Lytechinus pictus: one gene and its partners. Each later gene encodes a partner of the first gene's protein in a complex. Links are inferred from orthologs where the notes say so. Each region holds a gene or a part of one and is shown in the gene's direction. Other genes may lie near its edges.

Region 1 (11,057 bases):
ATAATCAGATTATAGATGATGTGTGTGCCTATTTCAGACCCCCCAAAAAATGTTGTTTGTGTTGTCATACATGAGAAATGGACAAAAATATAGATTCAAAGTGAATACATTTATCACCATCATAAATGTACTTGATAATGGTGATCTGGGATGTGGCAGTGATCATTGTACTGTGTATATGTAGTAAATGTCATATGATTCAAACCCTCTGGTTGTGCAATGTCGTATAGTAGCGTGCTTATTACAAAAATGTGTAATAAATTCTATCCTAGGCTATATGAATCGTTTCAAGTATGTTTTGTAATTTTTATATGTATAATTGTATTGCAATAGGTCTTCTTGTGGCATTTGGTAAGGGTTTGGTTTTCCAGTCTTATTTTTTGCTGTTTAGAATAATAATAACAATATTCTGCACTCGTATGCCATGTGGAGCGTTGTGGCCCAGTGGATTAGTCTTCGGACTTTGAAACAGAGGGTCGTGGGTTCGAATCCCAGCCATGGCGTAATTTCCTTCGGTAAGAAACTGATCCACAATGTGCTGCACTCGACCCAGGTGAGGTAAATGGGTACCGGTAGGAAGTAATTCCTTAAAAAGCTGTGTGCGCTATGAACGCCTAGCTTAGCCGGGTAATATAGGAGCGCCTTGAGCACCTAACAAGGTGGATATGTGCACAATATAAATACCCTATATTATTATTATTAGTATTATATATCACAATATCATCTAACGTCTCTTAACGCTTCATAAGAACTTTGAATATTATGCATTCATTGATTAGAAAACAAATTGATGAGAATCACCTTGTAGTAGGGATCAACTACTAGTACTTAGCCAAACAAGAATTATTATAATGAAAAATTTGTTTGTACCTTTGACAGAGCTAAAAAAGGTTGAATGTTTTTATTGATAGAAACTTTTGAATGTAATACCAAATCTACTCTGTTGGGTGCAAGAAGTCATTTAGAAATTTTATTTAAGGGTGATGGTAATGAAAACTTCTATTACTAAGCCATGAGTAGGGGAATTCTGTTAATGAATATTTAAGTAGGTGTATATATTTGATACCACATTGAATGAAAATATGTTTTATTATGATGCATATTATTGTCACCATTTAAGTTTCACCTTATTCCATTTTCATCAACCGTTCATTCATTTTCATTGATTTTCAGTTTAAAGCTACATGTAAATGAACGTAGTTGCCGTAAAACACTGATTTCGTGAGAAAGTCTGTAAAACCAAGGTAAAGTATTGATATATCATTGTGGATCTAGATCAGGTACAGTTACATACACTGAACTTTGTGAAATCATAATATCTAGCTAAAAAACGATCACACTGAAGATCGCCAACACAGATAGGCACACGTGGGACAGTGTATTATTATTGCTGGAATAAAGACCCGACAGAAGTGACCGAATCTGCGCTTATTTTGCTTATTTCTCAGCAATTACACAATTTCTTCCAGAATCCTTTGGCACATATTTTTTATTCATACAAACAGACACTTTGGTGATCATTATATTAAATTCTGTAAAAAGTCATTTTGAGATCGTTCCCACAACTGGAATTTATCTTTAATTTTAGCATGAAAATTTAATCTTAGTATTACCATTATCACCATCATTTGATTAGTCAGAAAACACATGTAAGTAGAGAGAAAAGGATACATCATCTTCAAGTCAGCCACACGAAATATCCTAAGTTTATTTGCATTGAATTCATATTCATTTTCATCAATCAAATTAGTTATAAGAGTGAGTTTTACTCAAATTGTCACAGTCTAGCAAGTAAGCAATGCTACAACTTAACATTTTCCAGTTATGTATTTTTGTTGGAATGTATTTTTTGTCAGTTGTCTCAGTCTGTTTACACGTGTACATGCTCTTAGAAATGCCATGCGACCTTTTTTATATTGATTTATGTTTTCTCACTCAACTAGTAATATCATAGCTAGTTTTATTTTCTTCCTCATTTTCTATTTTAGTACAATGGTCGTGAAAATTGTATTCAATACATGAAATGTAATGTAAATTTACTGTTGTGTATTCATTCTCCACTCTGTATATCTTGTTTGTAAATGAATCTCAAATTTGATAGTGATATGTATATAGTGGTATAAACCTTGGTTGAAATAATGAATTTTAACACTACAGTGGCAGATTTCAATGTATAGAATTTATTATAAAAGAATTTTTCATTAATTGCAAGCTTGAAACACCTTGATATTGAAAATATATAATTATATCAGTCTGTAAAGAAGTAATAGCATGTGATCTTTTTTCTTCTTTTTTTTTACTATCTGATAGCAGGTCATTTTTCTGATTTATTTCATTACCTCTATATGCATTTAGATGTTTTTGCACTATTTTTCAAATTGACAATTTCTAAATCATCTACTTTGAGATCATATTTGTAAAAAAAAAAGTCCTGTATTTAATTTGATACATCTTTTGTGAATTTGTGGATGCAGACAACCGGCCAACTTACCCTATTTCTCAGAAAAAGAATTGGTGAATGAGCAAGGACAAGTCATGAAATCTAATGTTTTAGGAGGAATAAATGACCAGTATAGAGTGTGATCAGATTGGTATGAAAATGCGTCCTGTTGTATGAATTGATAAAATTCTCGATTAAAATCATTTCTGTAGAAATGATCAATAGAATGATTTGATGAATATCACATGGAATACATGCTTGTCTTCTTTGTCTTGCTTCTGTTGTAACGGTGTGTTGTATTCCCTTGAGGGTAGGGAGGGGGAGAAAGGGGAACAAATAGAGAGATCGAGGATATCAGGAAAGGCGAGAAAGGGTCAGGGAAGAGAGAGGAAGGAAGGGAGAAGAAAAAATATTAGGGTTGCCAACTCTCGCTCATTTAGAGTGAGAGTCACTCGTTTTCGTCCATTCTCTCTCTAAAATTGTGTTCCATTTCCGTCCATTTCTACTGATCTTACTCATTTTGACACTTAAGTTATATACTTTGCCTACGGGAGTCTAGCTCACTCTCAACTAATTTTCAAATTTTATGGCACCGCTGAAATATAGTGGGAGAGTAAAATAGAGAGAGATAACAAATAGATGGGAAGGAATAAAAAGAGAGGATACGATCTAGAATTAGAGTCATAGTTAATATTTTTTAATGAAATATGTTGTGCATTCACAAGTGTGCCCCCCCCCCCCACCCTGTAAGAATCAACAGCAATTATTTTAATGGGGATATAAATGTCATTCATTCGTACACAAGTGCGGACCTTTTTTTAATTTTTGCCTGTCAAATTTTCCTTGGGGAAAATGCCCTACTCGATCCTCTTGGAAGATCCTAAATCCACCCCTGTGTTACTCAAGTGTTCCCAGAAGTTATTTATTTTTCTTTTTTTTAATGGGTGGACAGTAGCGTATGCAGGATTTTTGAAAAGGGGGGGGGTTCAAGCTGAATGAAATGCTGATAACCCGCCCCCCCCCCCCCCCCGAAGGGGAGTCTTCACCACAAGTCGTTTCCTACCCCCTCCAAAAAATTGACAAGCAAGGTTTGAATTCTAAGGGATGGGTAGATGGGTATAAAAAAAATTGAAGGGGGGGGTTGAACACCTGTAACTCACCCCACCCATCCCCCCCCCCCCCCCCCCCCCCCCCCTGTGGGTAGATCATTTTGCCTAGCTACCACACGAGGGGAAAAAAGGAGGGAGCACGTCTGATTTTGAAGAGGTCGAGCGCCATCTACGTCCCAGCCTGCCTGATCATATCATCATTGTTAATGTAGCAACAATTTTCACAAGTCAATAGTCATAAAAAGACTTGAAGAGGGAACTTATCGCTTTTCCGTGTCCAAACTTTGACTGTGTAACCTGTAAGTAACTATCATGTTGTAAATTTATTTAAATTATAGGGTGAGTGTTAAACTACAATGTGTGCCATTTATTTCATTAAATTTGAGAGTATTACACTGTTGAAAAAATATTAAGCCCAACCGCAGGACTCGACTTCTTCAATCAGAGCTGAGCCGCAGCACAGCGGGCCTGCTTAGCGGTAACTGCTGCCAGAGCCCCGCTATTCAGGCAGGCCCAGTCGCCAGAGACGGCACTGAGGCTGAGCTGCGTTGCGGAGCTCGAGTCGAGATTCGATCCACTCAAGGGTTCATGACATGCCGCTTAGCCAGGAGGCTTCTCGAGAGTAAAATTCATTTACTAATGTATGCTTACTCTCTACGAAGCCAGGGATTCCATTCATCTGCATGCATGTATTGTAGATCTAGGTTTTTTACCGCCAAAAAACCTGAATTCCTGAAACTTTCGCCCCCGAGATTTCTAGTTTTTCTACTCTTAGTCTTAATCATTCCACTCACGCTAGCGCTATGGACGGTATATGAGTAGTGCGAGGTTAGTAATAGATCTATACTAACTTTCATTTTAACGCGTGCGTCAGTAACGTTGGGGAAGAACAATAGGAAACAAGATGGCGGCGTAAACATCGGGCAAGTCTCCTCCGTCTTTTCATATTTCATAAATCGATAGCGTAGAAATGTCGGAAATGAAGTTGTATCCCATTTCATGATTAGGTCTAACAAAGTTAGATCTTTTTATAGAATGAAACTATAAATCTCGGGGGCGAAAGTTTTTTGGCGGCATGCAGATGAATAGGATGGAATCCCTGGCTTCGTAGAGAGTAAGCATACGTTTGTAAATAATTTTTACTCTCTAGAACTAGTAGAAGCCTCCTGGCTAATGCCGCTGGGCACGGGAAAATCTAGGCATGCCGCATGCAACTTCCATGGCATGCGATTGCATGAAATTATGAAATCTAAAATCATCAAATTGTTCCATTTCACTTACTGATCGACGAAAGTCCCTTTGGTGACCTCTCTTAGCACCCTGTTCCTCATATTTTCTTGCTCTTGACGTAACTGCCTGTCCAACGGCAACAACATCAATTTTTGGCCTAAAGAGGGCGCACGATTTATATTCATATCAAAGACACGACATGGGAAAGACCACTCACACATATTGCGAGGTTAGTATTAGTATACTACTGGGGAAAGACTAGGCACCGGTGCCTAGTCTTAAAGGACAAGTCCACCCCAACAAAAACTTGATTTGAATAAAAAGAAAAAAATCCAACAAGCATAACACTGAAAATTTCATCAAAATCGGATGTAAAATAAGAAAGTTATGACATTTTAAAGTTTCGCTTCATTTCACAAAACAGTTATATGCACATCTCGGTCCGTATGCAAATGAGGGAACTGATGACATAACTCACTCACTATTTCTTTTGTATTTTATTATATGAAATATGAAATATTTTGATTTTCTCATCATTGTCATGTGAAATGAAGTTTCATTCCTCCCTGAACACGTTGAATTCCATTATTTTAACATTTTGTGCTTCAGGCAAGGAGGTCCTAATCATCAAATTCGTAAAAATTGAAATATTGTATAATTCAAACAATAAAAAACAAAAGAAATAGTGAGTGAGTGACATCACCGACTCTCTCATTTGGATGTAACTGGCTCGTTCATATAACTATTTTGTTAAAAATAAGCGAAACTTTAAAATGTCATAACTTTCTTATTTTACATCCGATTTTGATGAAATTTTCAGCATTGTGCTTGTCTGATTTTTCTCTATTGATTCAAATCAACATTTTTCTGAGGTGGACTTGACCTTTAAGGTGTGCACCTTAACTATTTTACACGCAAATCGACGCAAAGCATTACGCGAAGTCCTTGAAGTGTCTAATCTTTTCATTGTATAGGTCTAGACTTTGGGAGACCGTATTATTGACAAACGAACAAAGCTTGTACAGCTGGTTTCGATTAAAGGTACATAGATTTTTTTCTATTTTTAAATTAGTCGTTCTAGATTATTTGCTAAAAAGTGTAATCTTTTAAAATATTTTCTTGATATTTCCCTTGCAGGTCTTCCAAGCATATCTTCTTCTCGATGACACCTGCTTCAGAGATCAGATTTTGATCTGAAGGAAGTTCTATCATCAGATAAACCTGAGCTAGCAGCTTCACATGTTTTGACTTCTTGGTAATTTGCAGGGGGGTTTACTCTCCTGAATTTCTTGATAATCTGAAGACAGACGTCTTTACTCCTGTTATCAACTGTGGCTGTTCACCCCTCAAAAATCATATTTTCTATCTCTCTCTGAAGCAGTCGCTGTGTTCGCAACTGAACCGTTGTGGGGGTTTACTCTCCTCAATCTCTTTGCATTCTGAAGAAAATAAGACGACCACTAAGCCAAGATGTCTTACATGCTTAGCCATCTCCACAACGGCTGGCAGGTCGACCAGGCCATCCTAGGTGAGGAGGATCGCGTCGTCGTCATCCGCTTCGGTCACGACTGGGACCCGACGTGTATGAAGATGGACGAGACGTTGTACCGGATCTGCGACAAGGTGAAAAACTTTGCTGTGGTGTACCTTGTTGACATCACAAAAGTGCCTGATTTTAACAAGATGTACGAGTTGTACGACCCGTGCACGATGATGTTCTTCTTCAGGAACAAGCATATAATGATAGATCTGGGTACCGGTAACAATAATAAGATCAACTGGGCTATAGACGATGAACAGGAGGTTATTGATATTGTGGAGACAGTGTACAGGGGCGCGAGGAAAGGACGTGGTTTGGTGGTGTCACCCAAAGACTACTCTACCAAATACCGTTATTAATGTCCTCTACCGCATCTCTGTTGCCAACAGTTTGGATTTGTGGATGGCAGCGATTGAGGACACGTTGGTTTGGAAATGAATACTGGCAAGTGCCATGCCTTTACGAAACATCATTCCTCAAACATTTTCTTATTTTTTCAGCTACACCAGAACTGCAAAGCTTTGGTAAATTTGTTGATTTATGTTGTATAGTAGGGTTGCGGGCTATCACATATTGAATCAAATGTACAGTTTACAGTATCGCAACGATCACCTGGGGAGTAGTTCATCAACATTTTCGTCCGACAAGTTGTCGGATCCGACAACTTTCCTTGGTTATGATCGTAAGAGAGGCACTGTTAACATAGTAACTGTCGGATAAATCAGTACTTGTCTGATAAAACGTCTTACAAGTCCTTTCGAATGATGAAACGCTCCCCAGGTTTTATCTCAAGATACACTGCAGTACATTCTCCATATTTGACCTTCAATAAGTCAAGTAAGCCTATTAAACTCCAGAAATTTCAAACCAGGGTGGTGTTTCATAAAGTTACGCACAACTTTACGCACGACTGAAACATGTTCCTTGGTGCTTAATCAGTTACATGTGGATAGTGTAGCACAAGAAAGGTCACCAGTTGTGCGTAAAGTCATTCGTAACTAACAAACAGCTTTATGAAATGGGCTCCTGAATATGAAAAATATGTCTCTCCTGTGTTAAGTGCAACAGATTTCTGTGTTACCAAGACACTTGACTTGGGTAGTGTCACCTGTGTATCGTTCAGCTTTAATTATGTGTCGGACATTGTTTGCATTTATGTACATGTAGTATGTTTAAGTTTATGGCACTCCTGGGCCTGCTGTAGTACAAAGGTTAGCGATTAATCGCTAACTTGAAAGATTGGTTCCTAGTCAGTCTACCGAGCAAAATTGCGCATGCAACGATGGTCTTGATTGGTAATTTCATGTACATGTAGCTATTAATCGCTAACTTGTGTTACAGGGGCCCGTTTCATAAAGCTGTTCATAAGACTTTACACACGACTGGTGACCCCTTCTTGCGCTAAATGAACGGATTTTATAGCGCCTAAGAACGTGTTCCAGTCATGCATAAAGTTGTGCATAACTTTACGAACAGCTTTATAAAACGGCCCAGATATCATCAGGTACATGTAATATTGGATGGGGAAGTATTATAGTTTATTAGAGGCTTGACACTTTTATGTAGTTCCCCTTGGACCCTGGTGATCTTTATTTTCTACATGAGGGAGATTTGTTCATTTTGTTGTTAAAATCATATCAAGTTTCAAAACTTACAATATTTTTCTGAAGAGTTATTGTTAACCAGATTGTTCATTCACTGAAGTCAACATTGTCACAATTTTATGACACCATGCCACCTTTAATCCAAGCCACCGATTGGATGTCGTGAAAGACATTATGAAAATATGAGAGAGGACATATTTTTGATAAGCCAAAGGGGGAGGGGGTGTAAAGCTCTTTAATAGTTATGGACAACGTCAACTTTATAAAGTTCTGGAACATATTTTTGTGCTACATGTACATGTACCCAAACATTTTCTTTGTGTTCAACAAAGTGGGACTGACTTTCCAATTACTGAATACATGTCAGTATTAAAAGGCCATTATTTGACACAAGTGCAACCCCCTCCCCCCCCCTCCCAGTATTTCAGATACCCGGAGAATAGCAGTTAATATTACAACTTTTTTTTTTCTTTGATTTTATTTGGTCATGATTAATTGATTCAGAAGTCACAACTGTGTAAATGTACATTGAACTTGTTAACATGAATGTTCTTTATATACATTGTAGTAAATATGGAAACAGAAAACCAAAAAAAAAATGACTGAATGTTCATGTGTAATCTGAGTTGGTCATACATGTAGGTAATTTATAATGTGATTGTGGCTTTAATCTTGAAGAGAGATGAATACATATGGAGAAAAGAAAGTGCAAGAAAGACAGCAAGAGAGAAAAATCAGTATAAAAAAGAAAGGGGGGAGGTTGGCTGATAGAAAAAAGAAAGAAGAAAAGTGAACAGTAAGGAACAGATCATGAGAACAGAATGGTGAATGTTAAAAGCTTGCTGGAAATGTTTCATAAAGACTTGTTATAATAACAAATGCATGCTTTCTATAACAAGTTTACTCTCGGCCAATGAAATTGAATGATAATCATAGAATCAGCTCATTTTAATCGCTTTTAACTTAGTCACAGGGCCCAGGAAAGAAGGTAAAAAAAGATGGAAAGCTACCAGATGAGGAGGGATCTGGGGCCCATCTCACAAAGAGTCGTAATTAATCTGATAAATCTCAAATATGGAAATCCATCAATGTCATAATTCTTCAAGCAGAGCAGCACACATATTTGTGAGGCAGCGGCTCGCCTCTATAACAGATTGTCAAGGTTTTTGGATTCCTGGCTTTCCATATCAATCACAACTCTTTGAAAGATGGAGCCCATGAAAGATGGAGAAAATGGGCAGTGGAAAATTGGAAGAAGATAAACTTTTGAGAAAGAGAAACTGAAAATGTGTGGATGAAACATTCCGAAGAGAGGGAAGCAAGAAGAACAGGAGACTAGATCGAGCAACACAGAACATCCACAAGAAATCAGGAAGAAGTTGAAATGTTTGAAGGTCTACCTAAACAATACATGTTAATGGGTTTATTTTCAATTGGTCTATTACCAATTTGTCTACAATCATTTGGTCTATTATAATCAGATCGTCCACTATCCACATGGTCTAATTGCCATTTCGTCCACTCGCCATATTGTCTACTAGCCAGTTGTTCCAATAGCCATTTAGTCCATATACCGTTTGGTCTAATTGGAATAAGACTAGTGTAAATTGGGCAAAATGAATGAAAATAAAATGGATATTAGACCAACTGCTTGTGAGACGAAATGCTCAGAGTGATGATTCGACCAAACGGTTGTTAGACGAAATGTTGGACGGAATGGCAGACTAAATGAAGGTAGACCATGTGATGAGTGGCAGTAGACAAATCAGCAATTTACCGTTAAATGGTAATCCAATCTTTGTAATAAAGATAATCATACTGAATTGATGTGTGGAAGGAGAAAAATGAGAGCTGCATGGGAAAGTTTGAAAGATTAATCAAGGAATGAGAATGTAATTGTAAAGAATATTTGCAAATAAGGTTGAATTTCAAGACTGAAGTTCAAATTGGAAACTTGACGAGTAAATTGTGGCGAGGACAAGTCTCCCATTTCTTTATATTTCACATTTCCATATTCCTTTTTAATCATCTCACCCCCCCCATCCTTCCTCTCTTTTCCAGTATTCCTCCTTTCTCTTTTGCACTAACCCTCCTGTTACTTTTCCTTTTTCCTTCACTTTTCCACTCTTCTCATTCACTCACCCTATCATTTCCACTACCCACCCCCCCCCCCCTTTCCACTATGCCCTTGGTCTCGACCCCCCCCCCCCCCTTTCAGAACCCCCTCTTTCTCTCTTCCCCTTTTTACTTTCTCTCTCTCTCTTCAAATAGCCAATGAGTCTTATCTGACTGTCACGCACCCCCCCCCCCTCTCCCTCTTTCACTATCCTATATGTTTCAAAGTATCCTATATGAGAAAAGGCTCTCACAAAATAACACAAATAAAACTTAGTTCTTGAATAATCAGTATCATTAGGTTTCTATTTTGTACTATACAGAATAATAAATTTCTACCTTTATTCCAAGTTCCACTCTTTAGTCTCCAACCTTGGACATTTTTTAATCTTTCTTTGAAATGACAACATAAAACATTTGGCATAGACTGTAGCATAAAAGAAGACAGAAATTGAAGAGAGGTAAAGGGTGAGAAAATGGAAAAATCATAAAATAACGCTGAACTTCCAATAAAAAAGGTAAGAAAGAAGACAAGACATACGTGTAAAGATATTTTGAACAGACAAGGTAAAGGAATTTGATTCTAGCTTTCCTACTTTCTCATTCAGAGAACACTTGATAAACATAAACAAAAGAAAATGAAAGCCTATGGTCTCACTTTTGCAAATCTTTAAAATAATTCTGAACATGACATTCATGTGTAAACATGCAATGGAAAGACACCGGCAGAAAATACTGGTTTAGAGATGCGGCACATACTTTTGCCCATGCCCAACCAATCACTTCAGCTTTCAAAGTCAAAATGTCTGGTCTATGTAATGGTTCTTTTAATACTAGATTTGAATATAATTTCGCAAATTAGTATACCATAATACCACCAGGCAAGTTTATATAATAACGATTGGTTGAATAATTGAGTATCTGAATATAAAAACAGACCAAGTCCAATTTTTTGTGAAATTGAGTTAAATATGGGAAATTGTTCCGTATACAATGACTCATCGTGTGTATAGATGATA
Region 2 (10,257 bases), on another chromosome or scaffold:
AAATGTAAGGAAATACTGTTGCCAATTTAAAGATTAAAAACATAATTGAATAACACTTCAAAAAGTTCATTGACCCCGACATACACATATAAAAAAAGTTCATTGACCCTGATGGATCAACACAAGTGCACTCTCCATCCAATTCTCGCATTAAGAGCCGTTATTCAGTGTGTTGAGTGAAGATCCATTTGAATAGAAATTCTGTAAAAATTCTGCCAAAGACGATAATGTGCCCATCTTCAACGTGATATGGCATTGATGATGAAATAAAATGAAATCAAAAGGAGAAGTTGACAATCATGATCAACTCTTATCATCGGATTGCTTTCAAATTTTCTACTATTTTTTTTGCATGAAACTGCAGCAAACTAATCTGCTTTGAGTAATCGTTCTTTTTTCTGCTCCCTCAGCTTCTAGCGTCTTGTAGAAAAAATATTGAAAAAGATTGTTAAAAAAAAGGTTAGCTTGTTTATTGTACAGTATCAATCAGAAAGTACTTTAGCCAGTTGACTTATGTAATTTTTCTTTTTGATTGCATTTATCATGTTTAAGATTGTACATTTTTGGATATCCATTTATATTTGTGAATATTGTAATTAACATTGAAGATGTATTAACTGTGTAAGTTGTATCCATTTCGTCTATAAATATTGTTATCTATTCCTTGTTTTTTGATACTGTAGAATGTATGGTTGAAGCAGTTACTTCGGCCAACCAAATGGGTGCAAAATGCCATATGTAAATATTTTTTTCTTCTTAAAATTGGTAAGAAAAGATTGCTTTTCCATGCTGATTATTTTCTTTTACGAAACAGCATTGTGAAGATGTTATATTTTTCAGGAATTGTATTGAAACTGAAGTGGAGTTTGTTTTCACGTTTTGAACTTACAAACAATTTTTGTTGGAAACTCGCTGTAAGTTTAGACCAAGGTCAGAGTTAGAATTTCTCAATGTGATATTGAGAGGCATGTCTAGATGCGTGAAGTTATTTGTAGATGGATTTTCAGATAGTTTCCTTGGTTTATAATAAAAATGTTAACTCTTCAACAAAATTACACATTTAACTCATCTTACATTTTAGGACCTTGGAGTTATATTTATATGTTTGTTAAAGGGAAATAATCTTCCTTATAATCAGACATAGAATTTTCAAATTTTTTATCTTGTTGTTATCTAGATTTCGTATTAAATCTAGATGATGTTTATTATATATTATTATTCTAGTTGTTACCTACTAATGTACTTATCTAATAATCAATATTTTCTGTAAAAATTCTGTTACTCCTCACAAATGTCTTAGTGCGCACCTTTTATAGAGACAGAGATTTTCCGTTTTACCGGTAAATAAAACAGAAATTCTGTAAATAAAACAGAAATTCTGTTTGATTCTTATACTTTTCATGTAAAAATTAATGGAATTCACCTTAGCAAAACGGAATTCACGTTTTTGCTGTGTACATTTTCAGCGACAAAACAAAATTTCCATTTTTAGATCAAGTTGAAACGGAAAATACAATTTTTTTTTAAACGGAAAATCACTGTCTCTACTTTTATTAAACTTGAGTGGCATACTGCTTGAGCTGAAAGAATGCAGTTTCCGAGAAAATCATTGTTTTCAATTTATTTTCAAGTTATTAAAGTCAGTGATCTATTATTGCTATGGCGACTTTCATGGAATATGATTGCACAGATTATGAACGGAGACCTTCTCAAGTACCTTTTTATTCATAATTAGCTTTTAAATAAGAATATCAAACTTTTGTTGCTATGTTTCTACTAGTCTACTCAGAATGTATTTTGAAAGAGCATGTTTGTTTTGCAACCATTTATTGCATCCATATTTTTTGCAAAGTAAGAAATATCTAAAAGGTTTCAGGACTTTCAGAGAATAAATGTAATAGCAGTTGCCTATCAATTATTTCACTTATAAAGCAATTTGTTAATCTTTGAATGGTGCCCAATTACTTCTTGGTGATGATTGAATCTATTCCTGACATGATTTGAACTGTAGAAGTGATGATGCACCCATCTTTTATTTAAAATGGTTCACAATGTTTTGTTTTTGTAGATATAAGGTATGATTTCAATAAAGTGATAATGTACATTAATGAACAAATTATATTTATATGCTTGTTCTGTATACCATATGTAGTTGTGAGTTGATAAAATTTTGTCTTGACATTGCTAATTCATTCTCTCTCTCTTTCTCTCCCTCTTTTCCCCCTTCTCCCTCTTTATTCACTGTCTGTTCTCAGCTATTTCTGTTTCTTTCTTTCTCTCTCTTTCTCTTTGCTACCTTTTCCTTTGATCTACCTGTCAATTTTATTCTTTAAATGAATAGATACATGTACTTGCAGCTTTTACCATAAAAACCCATTCAGATCTAGTGTGGAAATCATCATCAAGGAAAAAAAAAGATGTTATAATAATAACATACCGACAAATGATATGCATGAGCAGTAATACCAATATTACACATATTGTAATTGAAAGGCATCCCTTTAGTGGGTGTAATGGTCTACACCGGGGGTCTTTAAAATGTACACTTCTTTGGTATAAATTAGTCAATCGCCGTTCTTTGCTCGGCCGCACAACTGCTTTCCACCCTGAGTCTGGATGGGTCCATAGAATCTTGCTCATTGTACATGAAAGTGTATGTGGTTTCTCAAATACTAAAAAAATTCAGCAATTGCACCATTGTGGGGGGGGGGAGAATGGCCCCTAAAAAGTAATAATCCTAACCTTGCAGGCATGTTATGAGTTAGCTGTATAAAGAAGTAGAATAATTCAGGAAACTTCCTGTTTAATACTGTTCTTAATATTTTGGACATTGAGTTCAGTGTGTATTGTATGAAATTCCATGTGTACTCATTCATTTTAGTGGAATCAAATATGACTTGGAATGGATTCCAAGATGAATATATTCTGAGTTGAAGTACTCAGACTTGAGAAATTGATTGACTCAATATCAGAATAGTGTGACATAAACTGTAATTTAGTCAACCCTAAAAAAAAAAAATTCTACTTTTAATGAGTAGACTGCCATCTGTTGCCATTCAATGTTACATGTACCTCGGATTCTGCAGAACAGGGAGGTTGTAGCTTCAAAGAATGAAATTTCCTCGTGAAAGGTGCTTTTCCAAAACTATCAAGCTTGGATGATGTAAAGCACGCAATGTGACATGCCCCTCTTGGGTCAGATTGCACAAGCTACTATTATTTGAACATTAATTGTACGTATCACATCTATAAATTTATCCACATTGTGCTGCACTCCACCCAGGTGAGGTAAATGGGTACTTGGCAGGAATTTATTCCTTGAAATGCCACCGTTCTGTAATAGGCTGTGGGGCTATAGCCAGGGTAATAATATCCAATTAAGCGCATAGGGACGCATTTGGCAGTGATATGCGCTATATATTAAGCATGCTGGTAATATTATTATTATCTTTAATAATAAGTGTCATTAAGTATCAAAGAATGATTTTTTGCTAAGATGCTCATGGCCGTAAGCAGAATTTTTTGGCTTTTTCAATGAAATAAACTTAATTCGAGAGAGCAAAGCGACTGAGCTTGTCATTGGGGCGCCTCTGCATTCTGTTAAATGAAATAGAAGGATTTGTGCATACATGTACTTTTGGTGAATTTTCAGTTAAAAAATGAAAGTTTGCCCCCCCCCCCCCCCCCCCCCGCTGCGTATGGCCATGAGGTGCTTGAAGTTTGATAATTATGGATGGTGTACAGAACGCAATGTGACATTCCCCTAGCTTATGGGGTCTATCAAATTGTACATTATTTTATTTGTGCATTTCTTGTACATATTTGATTGTATAGCAAACATTTGGATACCAGGCATGTATCCAGCATCAGATCCTACAAAGCATTTCATGGGCCCAATTGTCTGGGGACAATAGTGACTCTATTATGCTTGTGCATGGGCCCATACATTTCTTGGTCATTGCTGATGCTGGATACGCTAACTATATATATATATCATTGCATATAAGAAGATAAGAGAAGACTAAGTTTAAAGACTAAGTCATGTCCATTGCTCTTGCAAAAACCATTAATTGTATTTTGTTTTTAAGTTGAACAATATTGATATCCCCTCTATTTCTCTTTCCCTTTTTGTTAGTACCTTTCTTTAATATTTCTTCCTCGCTCAAGTTTTTTTATTTTTATTGTAGTTCAATCAGTGATAAGTCTTGCGATTGATTGCAAAATTGTAGTTTATTAGTGGTTTGTTTCTTGTAACTGCAAGTATCTTCTTCTTAGCTTTTGTTAAAAGTTAAATCATTGATTGCAAATTTACAGTGGAATTAATTTGAGTACAAAATATGTCAACACTCCCCCAAATAAAATTATTGTTTTGGGGGAGAATATGACCCATGTGAGCTGTTATCAAAAGAATATAACAAAAATGTACTTCAGAAGTCATAGGCAGTTTCTTAAATGATGGAAGTCAAATTAATATTGAATGAATTTTAATACAAGGCACCAAACATGAAGAGACATATGGGTCACATTAGAATTTAGAGGTGATGTTTTTTAGAAACACTGAGATCTTTGCAGAACATTAATGCAGTCGGCATGCACACATTTCATTTTTGTAGAAAAAAAGGAGCTAACAGAATGAGAAAGTAAGCATGGTAATGAAATTGATTTCATACATAGTTCTCAGTGGTATATCTTCAGGACTCGATATTTACTCTGGTCTGTAAGTTTTTATTCTCATCTTTATGTAATTCAAATTTCAAGTTGTTTTAGAACTGCTAATTATTGCTGATCATTTCACTGTTCATATTTGGAATAAAGTGTTCTAAGCCAATAAAATGTTTTAAGTGTGTCACCTATTTTGTTGTTTGTGTAAGATATAAAGAAATAAGGATATGAAGATATGATAATGAAGATGATGAAGCTAATAATGGTGATAGATCATAGTGGTGGTGGTGATGATGATGATGATGGCGGTGATGGTCACAGTGGTCGACGGTGGTAAAAATGATGGTGATGATGCTGCTGTGGTGGTGAATAATGATGAGGATGAGGAGGAGGAAGAAGATGGTGATGGTGATGAGGAAGAGAAGGATGATGATGATGGTGATGGTCACAGTGGTCGACGGTGGTGAAAATGATGGTGATGATGCTGCTGTGGTGGTGAATAATGATGAGGATGAGGAAGAGAAGGATGATGATGATGATGATGGTCACAGTGGTCGACGGTGGTGAAAATGATGGTGATGATGCTGCTGTGGTGGTGAATAATAATGATGAGGAGGAAAATGATGGTGATGGTGGTGATGATGATGATGATGATGAGGAGGAGGAGGAAGAAGAAGATGGTGATGGTGGTGGTGATGATGATGATCATCATCATCATCATCATCATGAACATGATGATGATGATGGTTACCTACTGTGAATGGATATGATGAGGAAAACATGATATAAACATGAAAATATGATGGGGCAGAGTATCATAAAGGCCTAATCCATTCAGTTGTAGGGTGATGCCAATATAATTGTATTTATTCCCAAAAGTTAAAAATAAATATATGTTTGAAAATAATCAGCATTATATTCCTTAACAAATTTCCAGTAGATAACAAAAAGAAGAAATAAAAAAGATATACTGGTTGTGGAGGAGTGGTGATGACTATATAGGCCCTATGTTATTTTTATCATTACCATGTTTTCTTGAAAGAAAACAAAACACAAACTAAAAAAAAATTGTTCTTGAAGAGATAGCTATACGCTTTGATATCCATTTCCCTTCCATCAAACCATCGATGTCTTCCCAATTATTAAAACTTACATTTATAACAACAATGATAAATATAAAGACCCCCAAAAACATTCTAACGTTCGGCAATACAAAAGAAAAACTAACGTTAGCCAACGTCAAACTCAATGTTAACCTTTGTCGACTTCTGCTCTAGCGCCAACTACCGTTTGGCAAGTTAAGAACCGAACCGCGCAACCGGCTACTGTATATAATTTCACATCATTTGGCAGACGATTTTTTTTTTCAGATCCTTATCACTATATTACACTGGTAAGTAATTAAAAGCGTTTGGTTTTACAATAATTAGGAATTGTAATGAATAGGCATTGTCTAAATATATTTTCATGATCTGTGACTTGTCTCAATACATAGAGCCGTAAAAGTAAGAACTATTTTATGCTGAGATAAGTCGTAGTCCCATTTGTACACTTCTGTGTTTGTTGCAGACGGAGACCTGGTTTAGCTTTGCCTTTGCCTTGGCTTTGGCCCACTCACACGTATTGCGAGGTTAGTATTAGTATACTAACCTCGCACCACGAACCGCGTTTGGCAGTGGATTTCTAACTTGTGGGTCGCACGTGCTGGGATCTCACTTCTTGGGTCCACAACACACGACTTCTATGGCTTGAATTTTCTGTGCGCGGCGGCATGTAATGAACCCTTGGGTGGCTTTGGCCAAGTATTGTTAACGTTAACTTAGACCAAAAGCTTCGGTCTCTGTTATGTTGGTTGTTACGCTGAACTACGTTGGCTCCACTCACCAAATACATATGTGTATGAGGAGAAATTAAAAAAATCAAAAAATGTTGAAAAACTCCGCGAAACAGACGGCTGCCAGCTGTCTAACGTTAACTGTACTACTGTAGTGTTAGAGAATGAGTAACGTTAAGGAGTTCGATGGCGGCAGATCTGAGCCCAAGATCGTTGACCCAATAAAACTCGTGGGGCTAAAATGGTCTTAATTTTCATGTAATTATTTTGAATAAGATGAAAATTTGCAGGCATTTGAAGCTGGACTGAAACTTGAAAGAAATGTTGAAGACAGAAATGAGTGTGTGGCGCGCCATGGCATGGTCATGGGCGGAAATCCCAGGGGGGACAGGGGGGACGTGTCCCCCCTACTCAAAATAGTAGGGGGGACACAATATCAAATGTCCCCCCTAATGTTGTAAATCGGATCAAAAATCAGATCGAAAATCGGATCGGCAGTTAAGCTTCTAAAATCGAAATCGAATCGAAAATCGAATCGGCGATGTTTAAAAACAAAGGAATACATCAAAATGTTGTTCGCGGTCGCGCGCATCTTCCTGACAAAGTCACAAAGACGAATGCATTATTGGAATGGAAGTCGCCAACATGCGCGATCGTTTGGAACGTGTTTTAAAGCCAGGGGTTTTGAGGTGTTATTGCTTTAAAATAAACCGAGTGATTTTTATTAGAAAGATAAACGAAAGACGCATCTTCCGAGCAAAGGCGCAAAGGAAAATAAAATGAAAATATTTCTCATAGATCACAGGTTAATGAACGATCGGCGGGACATCTTTTAGAAGTATTTTTAGGTGCTAGCGATTTAGAATTATTGGAATGATCTCTTACGACGCATCATCTTAAAGTCGCAAGTGCAATTAAAATGTAGTAGAAGACGCAAGCACGCACGATGATTTGAAATATGTTATTTAAATGTTTTGGGTAGCTAGCGTTTTCAAATCAATTTGAAGTTCACGGCGGGGTCCGCTATCACCACGAGGTTGAAGAGAAGATGTCTATCATCATAAAGGGGATAAGAGAGTAGCGCAGTGAGCTCCGTCGGTAATACAACCTTTCAAAGTTCACGGCGGCATCCGCTATCACCACTAGATTGAAAATAAAATGTATATCATCATAAACGATGTAAGAGAGTAACGCAATAAGCTCCGTCAATAGTACAGTCTTTAAAAGTTTATGGCGGGGTCCGCTATCACCACGAGGTTGAAGAGAAGATTTATATCATTATAAACGATGTAAGAGAGTAACGCAATGAGCTCCGTCAATAGTACGACCTTTCAAAGTTCACGGCGGCATCCGCTATCACCACGAGGTTGAAAATAAAATGTAAATCATCATAAACGATGTAAGAGAGTACTTAACGCAATGAGCTCCGTCAATAGTACGACCTTTCAAAGTTCACGGCGGCATCCGCTATCACCACGAGGTTGAAAATAAAATGTATATCATCATAAACGATGTAAGAGAGTAACGCAGTGAGCTCCGTCGGTAATACGATCTTTAAAAGTTCACGGCGGGGTCCGCTATCACCACGAGGTTGAAAATAAAATGTATATCATCATAAACGATGTAAGAGAGTAACGCAATGAGCTCCGTCAATAGTACGACCTTTAAAAGTTCACGGCGGGGTCCGCTATCACCACGAGGTTGAAAATAAAATGTATATCATCATAAACGATGTAAGAGAGTAACGCAATGAGCTCCGTCAATAGTACGACCTTTCAAAGTTCACGGCGGCATCCGCTATCACCACGAGGTTGAAAATAAAATGTAAATCATCATAAACGATGTAAGAGAGTAACGCAATGAGCTCCGTCAATAGTACGACCTTTCAAAGTTCACGGCGGCATCCGCTATCACCACGAGGTTGAAAATAAAATGTATATCATCATAAACGATGTAAGAGAGTAGCGCAGTGAGCTCCGTCGGTAGCACGATCTTTCAAAGTTCACGGCGGCATCCGCTATCACCACGAGGTTGAAAATAAAATGTATATCATCATAAACGATGTAAGAGAGTAACGCAATAAGCTCCGTCAGTAGCACGATCTTTCAAAGTTCACGGCGGGGTCCGCTATCACCACGAGGTTGAAAATAAAATGTAAATCATCATAAACGATGTAAGAGAGTAACGCAATGAGCTCCGTCAGTAGTACGACCTTTCAAAGTTCACGGCGGCATCCGCTATCACCACGAGGTTGAAAATAAAATGTATATCATCATAAACGATGTAAGAGAGTAACTCAATAAGCTCCGTCAATAGTACAGTCTTTAAAAGTTTATGGCGGTGTCCGCTATCACCACGAGGTTGAAAATAAAATGTATATCATCATAAACGATGTAAGAGAGTAACGCAGTAAGCTCCGTCAGTAGCACGATCTTTAAAAGTTCACGGCGGGGTCCGCTATCACCACGAGGTTGAAAATAAAATGTAAATCATCATAAACGATGTAAGAGAGTAACGCAATGAGCTCCGTCAATAGTACGACCTTTCAAAGTTCACGGCGGCATCCGCTATCACCACGAGGTTGAAAATAAAATGTATATCATCATAAACGATGTAAGAGAGTAACGCAGTGAGCTCCGTCGGTAATACGACCTTTCAAAGTTCACGGCGGCATCAGCTATCACCATCTTTCCTCTTAAACATCGCCATAGATAATACCGCGTCTTTCTCCCTGAATAATGCGACCTCTAAATAGCTAGCACCTCAAAAACAATCTTGAAATATGTTCTGAGCGATCACGCACTGTAACCAGATCTACGCCGATTTTTTTTTTTCGATTTTTTCCTTCAAGGGGCATGATCGAAGATCGGCAAGTGATTGCCGATTGTGGTGAAATCGAATGGAATCGGTTGCCGATTGCAAAATCGGTTACAAGCTTAGTCCCCCCTACTATTTTATGATGGTAAGAATACATCATTCTAAATCGAAATAAAACATGTATTTTGGGACGAGATGACCATACTTTTGGGATGATAACCTTTTTTTTGCTTGTCAAATTTTCCCGCCCCTTGTCCCCATAGGCGGATCCAGGGGGGCCGAGCCCCCCCCCCCCCTATTGGCGGAGCAAAAAAAGAAAAAAAAGGAAAGAAAGAAGGAAAAAGGAAAAAAAGGAGGGAAAAGAGAAGATAAAAAGAAGAGAAGGACGACGAGTGCATAAAATAAAATGAGGGGAAGACTTGGAAAATAAAAAGAATCTTTCGTGCCACTATATAAAATTTTCGCTCGCGCTTCGCGCTCGCATTGCCTGTTAGGTGATTTACATATCTTGTTCAATATGGAGCTCAAATATCAAGTTTGGAAGTCAATATACAAAACATATTTCACCTCAGAAATCGAACTTTCATTATTTTGTGTGATTTACAAATTGATTTTTAAAAAGTGCTCTGTAAAAATGTCAGTTTTATGGTCTGAATAATTTTATCAACATTTGCTGCTTGCGCTGCGTGCTCGCAAATTTTGATTTATCAGGTACCTATTATTTTCGTGTATTCTATAAAGTTGTCAAAATATCCCTTTTCAGGTCAGTCTGATTGTCAAGACGTATCAGCTAGCGCTGCAAGCTGGCATTTTGATTGGCGAGTTATGTATGTTTCAATATTGATTATACAACAAACTACTTAAAATCCCCTTTTTATGACAGTTTATCAAAAATTTTAGCTCGCGATTTGCGCTCGCATTAATGGTTAAAAATATATTAACTG
Region 3 (10,318 bases), on another chromosome or scaffold:
AATCCAAGAATTTAAAATTCCTCTTCAGCAAAACAACAACTAAAACCAACGTTGTTTGATTACTGAACTGATGTGAATAGTTTATTGTATAAAAACTGTTAACCTTTCTTCATATCGCATTAATCTAATTTTTACTTTCAGTTTTAGAACTCACCACCAATAACAAAAAATTTTAAAGGTGCATATTTTTTATTTCTATTGAAAACCAAGAAATTAATAATCCCTCTTCAGCAAAACTACTACTGAAACCAATGTTGTTTGATAACTGAACTGATGTGAATAGTTTATTGTATGAAAACTGTTTTTCTTTATATTATAGCATTAATCTAATTTTTACTTTCAGTTTTAGAACTCATCACCAATAAAAAAATATTTTTAAAGGTGCATATTTTCTTATTACTATTGAAAACCAAGAAATTAAAAATTCCTCTTCAGCAAAACAACAACTGAAACCAACATTGTTTGATTACTGAGCTGCAAAAAAGGTAACTAAATAGAATATAAATACCACTATAAAATGTCTCTGAAAGCCCTACAAATCAAAAATCATTTCTCATGCATGGAATTGGTTGAATAATTTATGGGGTAGTAAACCCTGACAAATAGTTTGTTTTTAAAAATACCAGAAAAAATAATAGAAAATATTGGTGAAGGTTTGAGGGACAAAAGCTAAATATTAGAATTTGAAGTTTTTTTATTTTTGTCATAACATACAAGCAGCTACCATAAATTTCAACTCTTTTAATGGTTTATTAGTAAAAATTTTCTTCTTTCAGTAGCTGGTGTGAAGTAATTTGTAGGCCTATGTTGAAATAATTATACTGAAACAATAAAAACCAATGTTTTTCTGCTATTTCTCTTTACTTTGTACCAGTATATAAACTTTTGTCGGGGTGAACTTCCCCTTTTAGGATATTTAAAATCTTTGATAGTAGCTTTCTGATATGCAATCACTAAATTTGTAAGATAAATGATCAAAGCACAGGTTTTGAAAAAAAAAACATTACCGAGTGATGCAATCACATCATCTTCGCACACAAAATTTATCTTATCGTGTTCTCTCTCTCTCTCCCTCTCTCTCTTATTATTATTATTAGTGATTAGATTCTTTTAATGTACCAAATTGAGCTTCTGTTTTCTTTATTCAACTAAGTTTGCATACAATGAAGGACAAAGACGCACAATATTTTGGTGGAGGTATTCACTTCGCTACATGACAGGTCAGATTAGTCTAATGCCAAGGACATTATTGAAAAGAGAATTAATAAGCAAATCCATTAATCCATCCACATAGATAAATCTGGAACTTGGAATCGACCTGGCGCCCTAGCTAGTGCAGATAATCTACAGATTGAGGAGCATTACTCCATCACCAACCAACCAACTAACTCAGCCTATTTTCAACTTTTTGAATGAATACTCAAGTCAATCAACCAATCAATCAGATAATCAATCAACTATCTTTATCAATATCACTAGCTACCTTCATTTTCTTATCTCAATTTGAAAATATCACAAACAAAAGGGTCTGGCTTAATTGATATCCCATCAAGAGTCAACTTAAAGTCAATAAAGAGACTCACTAACTCTAAGCCTCCGGTCTAAGCCAGAAATCATAAGACACTTGATTAAATACCACCTGTAAAAAAAAGTTTGCTTTCCTTTAAAAAAAAAGAAATAGGTTTACAGTAATAATAATAATAATAGTGACTGATATCTTATTGAGCGCACACACCGTCCAGAAACGCTCACGGCGCTAGCGCAGCATCAGTTCCTTTGGATACAAATATTTTATACATGTATATATTATAAACAACTACAAAATATAAATAGAAATAAAAATCTTAAAAATCAGGTCTAGCTAGATACCAGCTGTAAAGGTGAATCTACCTACCAGTACCACATCTGTAAAATATGAAATATTGTATAATTCAAACAATAAAAAACAAAAGAAATAGTGAGTGATGGACATCGTTGACTGTCTCGTTTTGTCACTGAGTTGTGCATATCACTGTTTTGTAAAAAATAAACGAAACTTGTCTTAAGAATGTCATAACTTTCTTATTTTACATCTGATTTTAATGAAATTTTCAGCATTATTCTTGTTTGATTTTTCTCTATTTATTTAAATCAACATTTATCTGGGGTGGACTTGACCTTTAAGTTTTATCGCTCCCTCGGACAAAAAAACAATAAAATTGTTTGATAAAAACATAGAAATTTGATATTTTCAAAAGAATACAATCTTTGCAAATTAAAACTAAAAAGACCGTAATTGAATGCAACATTGATAGTATACAGTTCAAATTCATACTTACAATTACATATACGTTGCCGCGCATTAGAATGGATTAGAATAGAAATTGATGCGCCGAATTCCATGGATGCACCCGACCTTGATCTCTACCTCCTTAAACTCCCTGGTTCAGCGAGAAGAGTTGGGGACAGTATTTGGGCTACCAAAGTTTTTGGAGAATCTCCCTGCCTGGTGCCAGCTCCTGGCGACCTGGCCCCGGTCCTGGCCATACTAGTACTAGCTGACCTGCAGATCTGTCAAATCATGGACCTATGACTATGTCACCAAGATAGATAATAATTAATAAGACCCTGACAACCAGACGGTGGAAATCATGTTTCTTAATTCTCGACCAACCACTCCAAAAATATTAGCAAACGGTCTATGACGTTCCCATCACCGAGTATCTAGCTAGCTGTCATGCATGCACTGCGCGCGGTGCTGCTGGTATACTGCACGCACGGTGTTCAAAGTCGTATTTCGGGGAATCCCGGATGGATTTATACGTGTTTGACTTTCACCTGCGGGCATTATAGTCTGCAGGCACAGACCCTGATTGAAACTTTGATCAACAAGCTAGTGGATCTCCACGCAAAGACTAGCACATATTGATACAAAACTTGCTGTTTCACCCGCTGTTTCAATTGAGGCCTTCGATCATTTCACAAGGCATTAATAGACTGCACTATCAAACTCTTAACTCGAGTGAAGGGTTTGCACAGTAGACTACGCGGACATCGCCCTTCGAGATGTGGCGGCTGCGGGGGGGGGGTAGCTTATTAATACTTGTTAGTTGTTTTTTTTTCAACATAATTAGGCATTTCATAAGGACTGTATGCGCGAAACGTGAGCTGGATTTTAGGATGATGTATTCAGACATGAGAGTCTTGAGACCGTTTGACACATATCAATCAAGGTATCTGTTTTCCCTATTTTTTGTTGTGTGGGGGGGGGGGGGGGGCGGTAGGCATTTGTTTCTGAAGAAAAAAAACTCTGTTGCATACAAATCATACAAGAGTTAGTGTTCCTATAAACTACTAGTATGCGTAAAATACCGAATTCGCTCCGCTCATTCTATTCTTACAAGAATTTGGTCATGAAAAGTCCCTATATTAAAAGAGAGTTTAACAAGTCCATTTATGAAAATGTTTGATATGTTACTTTTAAATATCTTTATAACTTTGATCATAATTCATAAACCATTTGAAACAGGCTTTGAATACACTGGCGTGTACGATGAGTTAGGCCTACTGGCGACATTGACCAAATCAATTGAATATTTCAATTATGAATTTTTCTCAAAATTTTGGATCTCCCTATATTTTCTTTCAGATATTATTCAAAATCTTTCCTTTCTGTAATATTTTCCTATTTATTTGCATAATTGTGCTATTTACATGTTTATTTAAGTTTAATGTTGCCTGTGATGGTTTCATAAAGCACCCTTTTTCCCGATGATTATGATCCCATTTTTTCGTCCTCAACCCACCATTAATCAGTGAGCAAAAATGAGTTTTCATTGAAAAAAATCTGGGATGCTTAATCCTTTTTTACTCTTATCATATTTCTTTCTCCTTTATTTCTTAAGTTTACGTTATTGATAATTTACCTTTATCATATCCTCTGTAATAATATATGCATATCATTTTTAACTACTGAGGCAACCATTTCTCCAATAATTACACACCCCTTGAAAGACGATTTTGGTCATCATTTTGTCTTCCAACTATAGAAAATTTGCTCGCTCGCTTCGCTTACTCGCTCGCATATTCATATAAACCGTGCCCTATTTATAACAACAAATCCACAGCCATCGAAAAAAAAATGGGATATGACTTTAACTGAAGGGGGTGCATGTACACGGTTGTGATACGCCCGTATGCATAGCCCTGTGAGGGTGCCCCGAAAATTTTGAATTTTCAAGTCAATATACATGTACATGTATTACTATCATTCCCCCACTGCTCGGACAGTCAGACCGGATTTACACCAGTGCTCTCAAGTTTAGGATCAATGGTGCCCCCATTTCAAATATCATCAAGTTAAATTGGCGCCCCACAAACAATTTGAACATAAAAAAATGGGATCATAATTATCGGGAGTAAGGGTGATAAATTTATGAAATCATCACAGGCCACAATATTTAACTTAAACACGGGTCGTGTGGTCCAGTGGTTAGAGCATTGGACTCATAATCGGAAGGTTGTGAGTTCGAATCCCCATACTGCCATTGTTTCTACTTTGATAAAAAGGCCCGAGAGTAATATCTGTCGTCTACAATGTCAACCACTATGACTGATTAACCTAGACGTAAAATGTTTCCTAGGTAATTGATTATATACCAGCTTGGCGTTTACCCGCCAGTAAATATGCTGTCCTGCCGAGTTCCTATAAAACGGGAGTTAGGGTCTACTACTATTCCGCCCATGATTATTTCTCTCCCCCTATCCTCCCAAATCTCTTTCTTTACTCTCCCCCTGGTTTATATTAATCCCTCTTTTTTCCAATCTCCCTTTTCCCCCTGTTTATTTCTCTTCCCTCTTCTTTTTTTCCTCGATCTTTTCCCTCTTTTTCAGTTCATTTTGGGCGATGCGGCCATTTCACCCAATCGGGGGAAGGTGGATTATACTACCACATAAAGACCTATAGCAAATAAATATAGACCAGAGATACAAATTTCTATTCGGGGAACGGGGATTTGACAAAATTCTACTCTAAGTTTCGGATTGAATACCCCACCTTTCTTTTCTTTTTTTATTATTATTTTTTTTTTATTTTTTGCAACTCAAATTTTTCTTGGCCAACCAGCTCCCTTCTCATAAAATCATTTCGAGGCCCCTGCCATTGGAAGGCCGTGGATTATACTACCAAACAGAGGAAGAAAAAAATGCACATTAATCATACTACTTTTTATGATTTGCCACCTACTGAGAAAAAAAAATAACTGGAAAAAAATCCATGATCATGAATAAAAGGAGAAAAGAAAACAAAATTGAGGAAAATAATGTAGCCTTTGTAGGTATATTCATTTTCTAAATAAGTATCTCAAAGTCTGTCACAAAATTATATGTGCTTGTTTTATTTTGGGGTCCAAATTCGCTTCCTAGCGACCAGAAGGTGGTCCGTTCTGAGAGAAGAGGAGGAGGAGGAAGAAGGAGAAGAAGAAGAAGACATTTTCGTAAAATATTTGCCCCCACGTGATGCCCCTCAAGATTATTTTAGCCCATGAATAAATGAATAAAAAATAAGCCATACTTCTTTACAAACTCTCACTCAAAATAAGATAGGGGCCCTATCATAGGGCCTATAGTTTGGATGGGAATATGGCCTGTGAGAGGGTGAATGTAGAGAGATATATACAGCTAGAGTCTACGGGAGTCGAGCTTCACTGTGCATACGCATGTGAATTGTGATGTCCTTTAATTTAATTTTGCAATTGGGTCTTTCAGAGATATCATAAATTCGCAGATGGTCTAAAACCAAAACTTTTGCCAAAAGGACTCAAAAGGTAGGTCTATTTACGATTTCACTCTCACATTTTGATTTTACAATGTACCGCCTGCAATAAATCTTGAATTTGGAAGAAATTGAATATTCAATTGAATTGCAAATATACTGAATTGCATAAACAAAGACTCTGTTGTGACTGTGTTAATATTCATTTATCTTCACTTCAGTCCCATCTATTGAATTTATCGTCATTAAGTAAGCCGCGTTCGCCAGCTCTCAATCGATCAATCAAAAAAAAAAAAAAAATGGCAATGGACAGTCACAGTAATGACAATGCGCGAACAGACGTTGGCTTTTGCTCAAAGAAGAGAAAAGCTGAGGGGAGATAGAATTAGAAAGAAGAAAAGATAGAAACTTACAGAAAAGTAGACTAGAAAAATGAGGAAGAAAAAGTTAAAATTTTAATTTAGTGTAAATTTTGAAGTTTAACTTTTTAGTTTTACTTTTAGGCTTCATTTAAAATAAGCTAGGCAGGAATCACTCACACTAGTGCAAGGTTAGTATTAGTATACTAACCTCACACAAAGAACCACGCTTGGCAGTGGATATCTATCCAGTGGGTCGCGCGTGCTGCGACGCCACATCTAGTGCACGGTGCGGTGTCCACAACATACGACTACTAAGTACTAAATTACTTTACTATGGTAGGTACGCTACTCTAGCGCGAGAGGGCGCGATTTTCGCGTCATCATTTTCGCGTACGAAAATGGCGACAAGCTGCTTCGGGAGCCGGTGCGAGCAATAACGGCAAGCCCTACTTGAGTCTCCTGTCTAGGATGGTAAACGTATATCAATGGGAATGAAAACGATGACATCATCTTCCCAATGCATTCAGCTATACTGCACGGTAAGCTCTTGCGACGGAGGGTCGAGATCGGAACAAAAATTGCACTAAAACAGTCTGTAAGTACAGTTTATGCATCAAATCATCATTATATGTTATTTTCATGGAATTATCAGACATATTACGCTAAAAATACATATGCTACTCGAAAATTGAAGTCGTAAGCTTTCATTTCTTACCTCATTCATGGCAGCATTTCTTGCCACCATTTGCCACGGACGAATGTTAAACGCCCTTGCTATTTGTTTCGTGGGATTTTCGTGGGAAGTTTGGCGACGCGTTTCGCGGGCTAATTTATGGCGGCTGCTAGGGTTTTTGGTTGCCCGCGGTGTGTAGTCCTGCGCATTGGAATTTGTGTAGCAGACCGTCTACCGTGATATGTCTGGTATTTCTTTGATTTAAAAAAACTTTTTCTTTTTTATAAATTAGGAATCGAAAACCAGACACAAATGTAGAAATCAGAAATACATCCCACACTGACACACATTCATTTTGATTGAATAAAATATTGAAAAAAAATGGCAAATGACGCAACAACTTTCTGAATCTTCTCGAACCTAATTGTAGCCTTTACTTTAGGTAATGTACTTTAGTCTTGATTTATTATTTGATGATTATATTCTGTTGAAAATTCATGTAACATGATTTCTTTTGGCCTAATCAAACTTAAATTTTTTATTATTTTAAAAATGAATGGCCTAGATCTAATTTAATTCATTATCATTTTAATTTTCTTTTGTTTTCATATTTTTATTTTCATTCAGATTAATTTCTTACCTCCATTTGAGCATGGCAATACTTACTGATCTGAAGTCGAGGGGCCCAACAATGAACAGACTTGGGCTGCATGAGCCGTCGAATATCTGTGGCTCCAAGAAAGCGTGATGGAAATGCCGCCTTAAAAAAACCAACCCCACCTCTGCCTCTGGGCTTTGTTCTTGGCGATCCTGCATTCCATTCAGACTGCAACTTTAAGCAGGAATTGTTCTACCAACTACTTAATTATTCACAAATGTGAATTGCAGCTTTTAAATTGACAAGAAAGAAACAATTGATTTATCTCACCCCCCCCCCCCAACTGTCTTCTAACATTTTCTATCACCCCAAACTAACACTTTTTTTCTTGTATGTCTGTTTAAATATTTTTATTTAGACTTTATGTAATTTTTTCATGATTTATTTAAGAAGTATGAGCAAAAAAACAAACAATTTGGCACATGCAGTAGAGAAGAGAAGGAACATAGCTTAGTGTTGAAAAAGGATACACATACAGATCTGAATATTAAAATAAATTAAAAAAAGAAATGACAAATCCACACTGACACATGAAAGTATTCATTTTATTTTTTTTCCTTGTTGGCATTGGTTACATTAATTAACTCCACATAAAAATATAAATTGGATATTTTAACAGTATTAATGAAGTTGCTCAATAAAATTTAAAATTAGGTATTCTCATTGGAGGTAATGGTTGATACAGATGGGTGGGTGGACCTGCAGCCACTAGCGTACCTATGGGGGGGGGCAGACTGCCCCCCCGACGAGTCACAACCCATGCAAGGGACGTATCCCTGCCCTCCCCCCCTGATGAGCCACCGGTGGCCCCCTCCTTTGAAGTTTAAGACCGAAAGTACGAAATCCTTTATTTGTGGTTGAAGACTTTTTTGCTTGTCAAATTTTTGGGCGGACGATTTTGCCCCCCCCCCCCCCTGTGGAAAATCCTAGGTACGCTACTGCCTGCAGCTCTATTGTTTTATTAGATTTTCATTTTTTATTGCTGGGGGGGGGTATTATGTAGAGCTGAAGCCAAATGATCTTATGAGGCAAGATTCAGTGTACAGCTCAATATGATGCATGTAAAGTGATTTATTAAACTTTTGAAATATCAATTAAGAACTGGAATGATGAATGGTATGAATATAAGAAATATATTAAATGCATGTAAAGTGATTTATTAAACTTTTGAAATATCAATTAAGAACTGGAATGATGAATGTTAAGAATATAAGAAATCTATTATATGCTAGTTCATCACAACTTTAGCTGGATCTTGCTGCAGAAAGTGCATCGTGTAGTTCTACAAATATCTCGGGTGAGAGGCAGTTTGGCAGAGCGGATGCAATGCTTCATAGGGCCCCTAACATTTCTGTGGTAAGGTCGAATCCAAACTGATGTTTTCATCAAATGATACAGCCTCCTGGCTACAAAAATTTCCTGTAGATGAAAGAGAAAACAAAATAATGAATGCAATGAAATTGGGGAAAAAGTGAGGCTAGAGGAGCAAAAACAAAAGCAAATGGTTGTAAAGTTAGTACAGGAGAGGAACAAAATGAGAAGAAAGGAACTCACAGAAAAGGAAACAAAACAGAGAGACAAACTTGAGACTAGCTCCTTTAAAAAAAGTTCTGTATGGTGTACTATGGATCTGTAAAAATATTTTAAAATTATGTAAAGTTTCAAGGATTGAGCATGCATAGGAAATCACGTAAAGGCAAGGATATCAAGTCACGAATAAAAACAAAAAATGAGGGGGGGAATGGGAATTACATCACCCCCCCCCCCACCCCGCCTCTCCAAAAAAAAAAAAAAACGACTTTAATAACTTGTCAAAACTCTATCTAGTATCAGCTTATGTTATTATCCTTTTTAATGTTATTGTTAGGGATCGAGAGAAAGGATGAACGCGGGGGGGGGGGTGCATTTTTCGGATTCATACTTTCAGGCATCAGTGTACTGAAGGGGAACATTTAACATAGGACTACAAAAAATTGCGGTGGACAGACAAGAAACAAGAAATGATGATTAAAATGAAAGAAAAAATTCTCGATCTCAAAACAACTTGAAAAAAGAAAGATGCAAAACCAAATGTTATCAACTCACTTACATATTATATTTGAAATCCATCCCAATGGTCTTCCATGTCGTAATTGTGCACTGTAATTCAGATAATCTAGTTAAAACATGTGAAATTAACTTCAAGTCTCAAATCAATCGTCTTGCACACTGTGCCTTGCAAAACAACAAAATACTCCGATATATGCGTATCATGAACGCACATGCATATTTATGAGCGCCGCGAAAATGACCAATCTCATTCACAAATGATGCGCACTTACGCTTCGTCACCATGCCGCGAGAAGCGTTTATGCGCGATGTAAAATCTCTGCCCCGAATTGGCAATCCCCGAATGCGCATGCGCGGTGGTGATTGATACTCGATGGTCGACAATTCGTTCGGAATGGATAATACTTAGAAATCATTTCTTAAAAAAATCATAACTTGAGTTATTCTTCATCATATGTCTTAATCAATGCATCATCGTAATGGGTGACACATTTTCTTTATGTTGAGGTAAGTTTCAACAGATTTGGATGAAGATTTGAATTATCAGTGGCGTACCTAACTATGGCTTGATTTTTCTGTGCGCTGTGGCATGTAATGAACCCTTGAGCAGGAATAGAGGATGAGAAGGAAAAATGAAAAGCAAGGAAAGTGAGAAACTGAGATGGGGGTGGAAGAATGAGAAAGAAAGAGAAAGTACAAGAGAGGAAAAATGAAGCCCAATATTTTTAATGGGCTTAAGCGGATTACCAAGTTTAAAGGGGAAGTCCACCCTGAAATAAGTTTGTTGTAAAAATTAGCACAAAATGTTGGTGAAGGTTTGAGGA

The links.
Region 2: thioredoxin-like protein 4A (region 1) and protein AAR2 homolog share a complex: the UniProt entries of both Homo sapiens proteins name them as parts of the U5 snRNP complex. The link is inferred for Lytechinus pictus from reciprocal best matches to the Homo sapiens genes TXNL4A and AAR2.
Region 3: the proteins of thioredoxin-like protein 4A (region 1) and polyglutamine-binding protein 1-like are in contact, whole or in part, in a crystal structure (PDB 4BWQ), measured with the Homo sapiens proteins. The link is inferred for Lytechinus pictus from reciprocal best matches to the Homo sapiens genes TXNL4A and PQBP1. Residues at the interface, in NP_006692.1 of Homo sapiens: Gly11, Trp12, Val14, Asp15, Ile18, Asp68, Phe69, Met72, Tyr73, Glu74, Met82, Phe84, Asn87, His89, Met91, Gly97, Asn98, Asn99, Asn100, Lys101, Leu129; in NP_001027553.1 of Homo sapiens: Gln241, Gln242, Arg243, Pro244, Tyr245, Pro246, Ser247, Pro248, Gly249, Val251, Leu252, Ala254, Asn255.

The regions. Positions count from the first base shown.
Region 1 is NC_087253.1:7,929,489-7,940,545, reverse strand, and holds thioredoxin-like protein 4A, read left to right. Parts: upstream 1-6,158; 5' UTR 6,159-6,249; coding exon 6,250-6,678; 3' UTR 6,679-8,688; downstream 8,689-11,057. UniProt on the Homo sapiens protein: Plays a role in pre-mRNA splicing as component of the U5 snRNP and U4/U6-U5 tri-snRNP complexes that are involved in spliceosome assembly, and as component of the precatalytic spliceosome (spliceosome B complex).
Region 2 is NC_087252.1:7,316,139-7,326,395, forward strand, and holds the start of protein AAR2 homolog, read left to right. Parts: upstream 1-5,946; 5' UTR 5,947-6,055; intron 6,056-10,257. UniProt on the Homo sapiens protein: Component of the U5 snRNP complex that is required for spliceosome assembly and for pre-mRNA splicing.
Region 3 is NC_087247.1:12,957,097-12,967,414, forward strand, and holds the start of polyglutamine-binding protein 1-like, read left to right. Parts: upstream 1-5,415; 5' UTR 5,416-5,804; intron 5,805-10,318. UniProt on the Homo sapiens protein: Intrinsically disordered protein that acts as a scaffold, and which is involved in different processes, such as pre-mRNA splicing, transcription regulation, innate immunity and neuron development.